Linked DNA regions of Daphnia pulex. Each later gene encodes a partner of the first gene's protein in a complex. Links are inferred from orthologs where the notes say so. Each region holds a gene or a part of one and is shown on either strand. Other genes may lie near its edges.

What was found. Proteins that work in one complex are often made in the same cells at the same time.
Region 2: exosome component 10-like (region 1) and exosome complex component CSL4-like share a complex: the UniProt entries of both Caenorhabditis elegans proteins name them as parts of the RNA exosome complex. The link is inferred for Daphnia pulex from reciprocal best matches to the Caenorhabditis elegans genes crn-3 and exos-1.

The regions. Positions count from the first base shown.
Region 1 is NC_060022.1:1,681,816-1,687,492, reverse strand, and holds exosome component 10-like, read left to right. Parts: upstream 1-2,305; 5' UTR 2,306-2,488; coding exon 2,489-2,539; intron 2,540-2,610; coding exon 2,611-2,747; intron 2,748-2,810; coding exon 2,811-2,922; intron 2,923-2,982; coding exon 2,983-3,093; intron 3,094-3,161; coding exon 3,162-3,530; intron 3,531-3,599; coding exon 3,600-3,743; intron 3,744-3,802; coding exon 3,803-5,383; 3' UTR 5,384-5,529; downstream 5,530-5,677. Other genes in the region: transmembrane protein 98-like, read right to left, coding at 877-975, 1,084-1,275, 1,389-1,650, 1,720-1,889. UniProt on the Caenorhabditis elegans protein: Catalytic component of the RNA exosome complex which has 3'->5' exoribonuclease activity and participates in a multitude of cellular RNA processing and degradation events. Involved in apoptotic DNA degradation.
Region 2 is NC_060026.1:7,114,960-7,119,380, forward strand, and holds exosome complex component CSL4-like, read right to left. Parts: upstream 2,667-4,421; 5' UTR 2,648-2,666; coding exon 2,512-2,647; intron 2,452-2,511; coding exon 2,333-2,451; intron 2,238-2,332; coding exon 2,168-2,237; intron 2,112-2,167; coding exon 1,933-2,111; intron 1,850-1,932; coding exon 1,643-1,849; 3' UTR 1,614-1,642; downstream 1-1,613. Other genes in the region: protein SERAC1-like, read right to left, coding at 26-213, 286-553, 618-734, 805-929, 1,013-1,338, 1,412-1,479. UniProt on the Caenorhabditis elegans protein: Non-catalytic component of the RNA exosome complex which has 3'->5' exoribonuclease activity and participates in a multitude of cellular RNA processing and degradation events. Involved in regulation of antisense ribosomal siRNA production.

The DNA of each region.
Region 1 (5,677 bases):
TCGATAGTTTGTTTCCCCTCCTCATTCGTTTTATACCTGTTAGACATTTGCAAACAAATGACGGACACACGGGATGATGGAAGCCCATATATTCCCAGCTGCAGATCGCCTCAAAACTTGCCACAGACTCTCGACTATTTTTCTCTGATGAAGGCAAACAGATTTGGTGCACCTGCTGGAAGTGGGGGGGTGAGTCCGTCGGTCGATATGGAAATGTCGCAGCTTTTTTTTATTTTTCTAAAAGAAATAAAAATACGGGGGGATTCAAACTTTCATTATTGACCATGGTAATTTTTTTGTTTGGTTTGGTTTTCCATACGCTTTCTTTTGTTCTACCCAATTTGGTGAAGTGCGGCTCCGCAATGCCCACCCCGAAGAGTCAGACTTTTTGGCATTTTCTGGTATTATTTGAGAGCGGAGTCATCGATCGATTTCCTAGAACTGAAACTTTTTGATAATGTTGTGTAAGCCACAACGTGATCTGCCGCCAAACTTTTTTTCCCCCTCCTCGCTCTCTCTTTTTTTTTTTAAAATTTAAACGGTTCACTACACACCCGAGTCCAAAACTTGTTTTTCACGTGGCAGACGTAAACAAAAGGATCAGAACCATTATTATTTTTGAAAAAAGATAAAAAGTTGCCAAAATAGTTTGGAACGAACTTTGATTGATAACGAGTGGTTACATTTAAAAAAGGAAAATACAAAAAGGATAGTTGAATCGTTAGAGCCATTAATAAAGGTACATTACTTGGTCAGACGTTATAATGAGTCCACTGTAACGAACATTGTGCATTTAGGTTAGTGAGGCTAATTTTGTTAAGATACGTTGTGATATTTTGGACGGAGATTACGAAGGTTTTCGAGATTATTCGTGTTTCAAGTCATGGATGATTCGACTATGGTCACACCTTCCCTGTAAAGATTTCGTTCGTTCCATAATTGAGTTTCAGAGCGCCGGGCGATGGCTTTGAGTTTCTGCAGTACAAATTAATGAAAAGTTAAGCAGATAGTATCGAGAACATTCAGAGCCAGTTCGCGTTTCCAAGCAAACAAGTCGTGTAGCATTTAAAAGATGCACGTTACCTGGTAATGCATATTCATCTCTTCGAAAATAGCTGATGGCCACGACACATTGCATGTTCGCTCGGTGAGTTTGCTCAAGCGGTTGACAGCATTCAAGAGGGCAAAGGCTCGGATTTCGACATCGCGTGGTTGAATGGGTGGGCACATGGAACGCAAGACGTCGTCAACTAATGGAAGGACAGATTTTGCAACCTAAAACACAACAGAACTTTCAGACACATAGTAATCTTTGGAGTGTCACAACTGAATTCCAACATAACAGAAATGCATGCAATTATTTTTCTTTTAGATAATGAGAGTTGTACCATTGCCAATTCAACAAATCTCTGTTGATCTGTAGAAGCCATAGCTGTAGTCACAAGCCTTTCACTCATCAAGTGACAGCCTTTTAAAATCTGAAGGCAATGAGGAACAATTCCAAGGGCATCGTCCACCCATTTCCATCTGTGAGATTCTAGAACTTTGTCCAAGTCAGGGTGAATCACTAAATCTTCAGGATCAATATTGTCCATGATGTAGTCTTCATCTTCCATCTCTAGGCTACTGATTAGATGAATATCAGACCTACTGGGAAATTCAAAAGCAAAATTACTCCCAACTGCGAAAGAAGTCTTTGTTCGTTTTTGAGATAGTTACCTCACATGGAATCCATTCTGCTGCACTTGTGGGCTTTGTTCCTTCTTCTTAAATTTAGAACCAAGATTAAAGCAACATAGTTTATATCTGCATATAAACAATAGCGCAAGGAGAGCAGCAATGAATACGGAAGTCAAAATCCCTCCAGTCACAACGACAACAGCGTGCATTGTTATGTGCTGAAAAAGAAAGCAATATAAGAAAATCTTTCGATCGTTTCAAGCGTCTGTCATATATTAGTTACCTTCGCAAAAACGACAAGTTTGGATGACACAGTGAACCTTTATAAGTACTCAATAACGAAAGTCCAAGTTAATAAACAACTAGTGCAAACATTTTTACGGCGGGATTAAAATTGTTATTATTTTATGGAAAAGAATGATGGTCAAGGCACTTGTTGATTTGTTATTTTCGGGGAACTTTTATAACGCCCTTGGCAGAATTTTAAAGCGCAATAGCATTTTCAAATGAATAAAAAATATTTAGTCGTGGGTTGAAAAATATTCTAAATTTACTAAATATTTTACTTGTTCATAGATATTCAATTAATTAAGTAATATAGATCCTTTTTAAGTTTAATAATAAATAAATCAACTGTTTAACTAACGGTGTATTACATGCATAATGTAGCAGACGACAAGTGGATTCTGAAAGCATGATTCTTTGGTCAACGGCGAGACTGAAACAAGGCGATTCACGTGCTTAATGTTTTCTGTGAATAATCGCAATAAGATTTTGTTGCAATTGATGATCAGAGAATATTTTTAAAATGAGTGAAAAAGAAAGTGAGAAGAATGGAAATGCCCAAGAGGTTCAACAGGTAGAGCATTGGCTGGCCAAACATTTTGAAATTTCATATCAGTCACAACTTGATTTTCTCTGTTTATTTAGAAATTATTTCAAAGTGCAATGAAGGTCACAAAGTACTCTAATGAATTACCAAGTAGTGGTTCAGACTGGGATTACTACCAAAGTTATCCAGCATATGCCAGCGCAATGAAAGAATTTGGTGGTCGCATTACTAACTTGTGAGTTACAGCTACCGTTAAGTATAAGAATTTTGTTTGATCCTAAAATTTTTATTTGTCAAGGATGACCACAATTTACGGACACTATGGACTAACAGGAAAGGTGGGAAAATTGGATTTGGAAGAGCAGATGGAGCTGGTGTCGGACAACAATGACATCTTGATGGAGCGAATAGTATGCTACTAGGAATTATTAGAATTTTACACCTGTTAAAAAAAACTGCTTTCGTTTCAGAATCTTTCTCTAGATGAAGCTGCTGGATTAAAAAAACAAGCAGAAACTGTAGTTGTTGAGATGATGGCAAAAACTACAAATATTAATGGCAGTTGGAATCGGCATTCTGTGGTATCTAGTTTTTCATACCAATTGTTGTCTTAGATGCTGAATCTATAAAGTATTCATCTTGTTTACAGAGTTCACCAGCAACCTCTTACAAACTTCTTTCTGCTAAAAACATTCTGAGACCACAGTTGAAATTCAAAGAGAAAATCAAGAATTCACCTGGACCGTTTATCCCCAAAATCAAAGATAAGCCTCATTCGTTGAAACCACTGGCGATACTATTAGAATTGAATGACTTGGGCGATGAAGAGTTTAGCCATCCGTACGAATTTGAATTGGAACGTTTTACACCGGATCCAAAGTTCTTCACCGTACTTGATGAAGTGCCTCCATTCCCAAGTGTTCAAGAAATCCCTTTGGTAATGATAGATACTGAAGAAGGTTTAAAAAGTCTTTTGAAAGTTTTGCTTGAGGAAACTGTGATTGCTGTAGATCTGGAGGTATTATTCACTGTCTAGCAGTTTTTAAATTGGTGAACCTTATTAAGTTCCTTAATTATTTATTGCCAGGCCCATTCATATAGATCCTTTCAAGGCCTAACATGCTTAATGCAAATTTCAACAAGCAGTTCTGACTACATTATAGACACTTTAGAGCTATGGGATCAACTACAGCCTTTAAATGAAGTTTTCTGCAACCCAAAGATTGTTAAGGTATGAGCTAACTGTTTAATTGAAGAAGTAACAAACTTATTTTGTTGGTTTTCGTTTAGATTTTTCATGGAGCTGATATGGATATTCAGTGGCTTCAGCGCGATTTCGGTATCTACGTCGTTAATCTTTTTGACACTTATCACGCTGCCAAATTATTGGGTTTTGCACAGCTGTCCTTGTCCTTCCTCCTTCGTCATTATTGCCAAGTTATTGCTGACAAACAATACCAGCTAGCCGATTGGCGAATTCGTCCCTTGCCTGAGCAAATGGTCAATTATGCTCGAGAAGATACCCACTACCTAGGATACATTTACGAAAAGATGAAAAAGGATTTGAAGATGAAGGGAACAGGAGATAATTTGCTGACAGCAGTTTGGCAAAACAGCCGACTGGTTTGTCTCAAACGTTACAGAATTCCCCCTATCACTGCCGAAAGTCACTTGGAATTGTATAGGCTCAGCAAGAAGATTTTCAACGAACGTCAGCTGTTTGCATTAAAAGAACTGTTTGCTTGGCGCGATCGAATAGCTCGAGAAGAAGACGAGAGCACTGGTTTTGTTCTACCCAAACACATGTTGTTACAAATCGCCGATGTTCTACCTAAGGAGATGCAAGGTATCCTTGCCTGTTGTTCACCTATCCCTTCGCTCGTTCGTCAGCATTTACTTCATCTCCATGGAATCATATTAAAAGCCAGAGAAATGCCTCTCGCCACTCTACAACATCACGGCCAGCCATTAGCCATCCCGAAAATGATGCCGACTCCATTGGATCAAGACACCGAAGACCCCCTTTATTGTATGCACGACTTGACACATTCTCAGGACATCCGAGACGACCTACCCACTCTGCTGAATCCGCAAACGATCGAATCAATGGCGTCAAGATCCGAGGAGTTTGGAGTCCGCGTCACTGTAAAAGAGTTCCCACAAGCTCTAATCTTCGCCGAATCGGCTCATTCTGGCATCGTGACAAATGTATCAACTAATTTTGTTTCTCCATACACGAGATATATTCGTGTCAGAGCTCTAAAGTCGGCCGAAGAAGCCGCAGAAGCACAACGTGTCGAAAAGTTGCGCCAACATTTCATGGAAGAAGTGGCGCATTCAACACCCGATGCCCAGCGTGAAGCGGAAGCGATGGAAGAAGAGGCGGAAGCAGTAGCAGTAGTTCCTGCGAAGAAAAAGAAGTTGGCGTTGAAAGCGCAGGGACTTAACAAGAAGAAGAAGAAAGTAGGGAGTACTAAACGAGTAACGGCTACTCCTGAAACATCTGTAATTCCATCAAACTCCAGCTCCCCATCGAAAAAGTCGGCGGATGCAGTAGTGCCGTCAGCATCCAAGAGCCCTAATCCAGCAACATCCAAGAGCCCCAATCCAGGAATGAAGAAAAAATCATTAAAACGACCGGCGAGCAAAGAAGCAGGAAATGACAGCGGGGCTAATTTCGAACCATTTGATTATTCCCAGGTTGATTATCACGCTTTTAAAAGGAGCGCACTGCGTGAAGATGGTGATGGACGCGGTCGGGGTCGAGGAAGAGGCCGTGGTGGCAAAAACCGAAGAGGTGGTCCCGGACATAGCAATAACAGAATCCACAGAAAGGGTGGCCAAAAGAGTCTTACGTATTCATCGAAATAAGTTAATCTACACTCTTTTGAAAATTAATTTTTGAACGTCGTATTCTTGTACTGTTGTGGATGAATCCGTGAACCTGTTTATCCTCTCTTAAAAATTGTTCGATTTTCAATCGTTTTGAAGTAAACAAGACACCGTTTGAAAAGAAAGAAGCAATTTGTCGTGTCAGATGTAATGGCGGAATCTGAATTAGCAAAAAGCTCGAGAACATTACCCTTTGGACGAGTCCTTTGGATATTTGAAATATGACGACGCAGAGTAATAACGGAAATCAGCAAAGTAATTGGGACACTTGTG
Region 2 (4,421 bases), on another chromosome or scaffold:
AACATAGCGTAATTTGACCAACTACATTTTGTCTAACGCAAGGTTTCTTGCTTTCATCCTTATCCTCGTACAACGGATGCAGCAGGTAAACTGATCTATCATATACTCCACATTTGCGGCTATTTTGGTCCATATTAGCTAGAGCTTTTCCAGCAGCTAAATTTAGAGAAGCATGTTGAGGACCAAAAAATTCTGCTAAAAGGCCAATCCAACCTGTTTAATTTTTTAGGTTAAGTTAATTTTTTACGTAAAATTTATTACGTTTTAAATTCTTATACAGTATACCTGATTGAAAAATCTGATGATGGAGCTGAGAGAATAAAGAGATGTTCACAATTATATTAACACACAATGCTTTGAGCGCTGCTTCCTTGTTGAACATATGCACGACTCGCCAGAGCGCGACAAGAAGTCCATTTTGCACCATTAAAATTGAGGATTCGAATGAACGAGACAGTTCCAATAAAGCTTGTAAGTACAGCTCTACGATTTGAACAATGTTTCCCGGATGTATAATTCTAGCAGTATCAGGATCCCATCTAAGATTGAATTCCTGGAATAACAAATGAATCATATTATACAAGTTTCATCAACTACTACATAAATGAAATACTTACTTCATCTTTGTCTTTTTCAGTAATTTTTTGAGCAATGCTAAGAAAATATGTAGCACAAGTGTGTTGATTGGAGGTAGGAATTTTGTCAAGAATGTGGTTTAACACATCTTCTATGGGCTATAATAGAGGATATAGGATTGTTTAAAAGACACATCATTTATAAGCTTTTAAATATATAATTTAAAACCTCAGAGGTTGAAATTATGTAAGCAGGGGGTTGTAGGAACAAGTTTAGGTTAACATTTTTTGTTCTTGCCAGTTTGACACTAACCCTGAAATCACATGCTTGGGCAATTTGCTGGGATAATCCAACTATATTATATAAAGAATAATCAGCAGTTATTTTACACTTTATAACCATAACCATAATCTGTAAATAATATATTTGAAGATACCATTATAATGTGAAGTAGCCAATGTTTTTAAAGCAGTGGAGTGTTCTTGAGTATGAGAAGGGAGTTCTGATTTAAGAATTCGAAGAAGATGCCAGGGATTTGAATCAAGACCAAGATGTGTTGGTCCCTTCATAAGAGTCTCCACCATTTGTTCAACATTTTTCAGTTTAGAGGTCATAGCATGAATCTCAGTTTCAATTACAGTTTGAGGAATAGCAATATAGCACCCAGCCTTTTGACGTTCTCTCTCAACTGCGGCATCTGACAATAAAGATGAAAACCGGCGGTTTAAAGAATGAATTTGGTATGCCAGAGTAGTTCCTCCTCTTCATAAAAAAGAAAAGATACATTGTAGTTTTCTATATGCTGATTACAAGAACTCGCTAGGAATTGAAATACCCAATTATAAAAATGACAGCTAGAGATTTCGGCAAATTTTTCCATTTCACTTGGCGATGTTTCCTCATTTTATTTACATGCTTGAAAAAACTATAAGAATATAAATTATGATTAGAAAAAAGGAACTTGGAGAAAATGAAATGAATTGAACAGAAACGCAAGCAGTCGACAAAACACCAATAAAATAAAATCCGAAAAGCTTTGTTGTCAAATTTCATGTATTAATATAATCTAGACGCCTGTTGCATTTTCGTTTGAAATTGTTTCTGGCGAAACTTTTGCAACTTTTCTCAATTCTTTAACATAAGTTTTTGGGCACTGCATTTCTTGCCATCCTACTGGAACCATAGGAGTACCTTCTTCACTGTATGCTATAACAACACCCAATTCATTTTCTGCTGTTGACAAAACATAGGAATGTGCATCACCTAATGAGAGCTAACAGCAACATGAAAAAAAATTTCATCTTAGAAGTCATACTCACTTTACAGTTGAAATAATGATCAAAATCAAATAATTACCACTCTTGCTAAAATAATGTCATTGGGACGAAAACATTTGTACATTTCAACCCTGTCCTTTTCTGTAGCACGCACATCTTCTTTCCTCAGCTGTCCTCTAAAGGGTTCTGCCAATACAATGTCCTTAACACACAAAATGGCACATCGTGCCCAGCGAGGATTTATTTGTGTTACTCTGGCTATTTAAAGGTTTAAGATGAAATTCACAAAATTCAACACATAATTTAAACAGTACCTGTAACCACATCACCAGCAGATGGAACAACTGTCTGTTCTTTACCACTTCTAACCTCTATCAGGATTCTCTAGGAAGAAAAGTTTGAACATAATATTCGGAAGTTCATTATTTCACACCAAATGAATTGTTTCACTGATCTAATTTCACTGTTTAACCACTAACCTTATCAGGTTGTGAAGTTACTTTAACAACACCTGCTAAACATGATGTGATATAACCTTGTCTTGTGTAAGTTCCGGCTCCTCCAATATATTGGTTATCCGACAGACATATGCGTTGTCCTGAAAAATGCAAACATTTTATCAAAATGACAACTAAAAAAATATGTTTTTTAATATTACCGGGAGTGCATATTACACATTTGTCTGATTCTTTATTCGTCATTTTTTTCGCACACCAGAACAACTTCGAAGTTAGAAAAAAACGTCGACTGCTGGGCGGCTCACGGGTGGGGTTCGTTAAGTGTGCACACAGCATGAACTACTCTAATTAAGGACGGTATATTCTTCGGCGTTTCCTATGTCGGCCATGTAAATTTTTTTGTGGGAGAATCAGAATCAGAATTTAAAAATTATCATAGAATTACCATATGTTCCTATAGGGCTCTTCGGGATCTGTTTTATTTAGCCGATTTATCTGGCAACGCAGCATGGTTCGAGACTTTTTTAGGGCTAGAACGGGGAGAAGAGGGAGGATGGGAGGAATGGGAGGGAGGAGGGTGTCCTCCCATTCTCCCTCTTCTCCCCGTTCTCGCCCTAAAAAAGTCTCGAACCATGCTGCGTTGCCAGATAAATCGGCTAAATAAAACAGATCCCGAAGAGCCCTATACCTAACATTTATTTTTATAGAGATATTTCCAATTCCTTAACGAAAAATTTGAAATAGGGCAAAACACCAGTGCCATCTAGGAACCAAACCTCCTAAGCTCTTGTTAGTTTGCAAGCAGATGCCCATGCATGCATACCGAGAGAAAGAAAAAACCACTCTCTTATCTAGTCCTCTGACATAGCTGCCTAACTATATTTTACCTTGTAGCGTATATTCTTAAGAGCTTAGGGTGTTTGGTTGCTAGATGGCACCGGTGTTTTATCCTTTTACCCCTACTTCTGAAAGTAAATTTATAATATCTTAATGATTAGTTTATTTCACTAAGATTTATATCTATAGTTGGAATCAGCAAAAAAAACTGAATTTAATGATATTTTTTATTAATGTTTTCATGAAAATACCCCACCCGACTAGCTTTAACAAGGCAGGATAGGCGAAGAATCCCGTCCTTAATTAGAGTAGTCCATGCACACAGTCAATCTCCCAATAGACGTTGCCAAAAGTCACGTGATGCCACATTTTACCCAATAAGATGATGCCTTGAGTACTCTCGACCATGCCTACTCTCGACATGGTACGGAAAGTGTGTTTAACAAAGCCAGGGGTATGGAAAGACCCCCATACCTTTCTCTCCATACCCCTGACAAAGCTGCCATGTCCCAGCAAATTGCGTGAAATCTATTGCCATGCCGGTCCGACAGGGCAATAGCCATAGAGAGCTATTGCCCTGTCAGTGCTAAAACCGCCACCTGGCGACGGCTATTGGTAGCCTTTCTGAACCAAGAACAATCTTAATGGTAAAACTTTTAGGTTTGGTTTGGGTTTTTAAAATAAGATGCATAGGGTAAAATTACAAACAAATTTTATGACAAAAATTTTATTTTTTCGAAAAACACATGTCACGATATGATGTCAGCTACCTGCGTTATTAGCAAGGTATCCGAAGGGATGTTTATGATTTTTTTTTCATAAAAATCAATCAAATAGCATATGAGAAAGATGAACTTCAAAAGAAAAAAAATTGTAGCGTTTTTGAATCCATATGAATACTATGTAGAATTAACGACTAGGAAAGTTATAATTTAATATGGAACGTTTAATATTGTAAAGTTATCCCAGAAAATTTTTCATTTAATTTGTTTTCTTATGATTATAAACCTTAATCTGGAATAAGTTAACACGAAAATAATTTCTCGTTTTTTTTTATTTTACTATGTTTGGATCCAACAAAACTAGAGTTAAATTAAAGTAAGCTATTGTATATTAATTATGGATATTTTATAAAATTTCGTATCATTATGGATGAATAGTTTTAAAACTCGTTTATAGTAAGACATTTTTGAAAAACGCAACGCATTTGTTGGGTTTTTACCTGGTTTATTTACAACAACAAAGTGAGTCACCCTTAGTCTCCCCCCTTGAC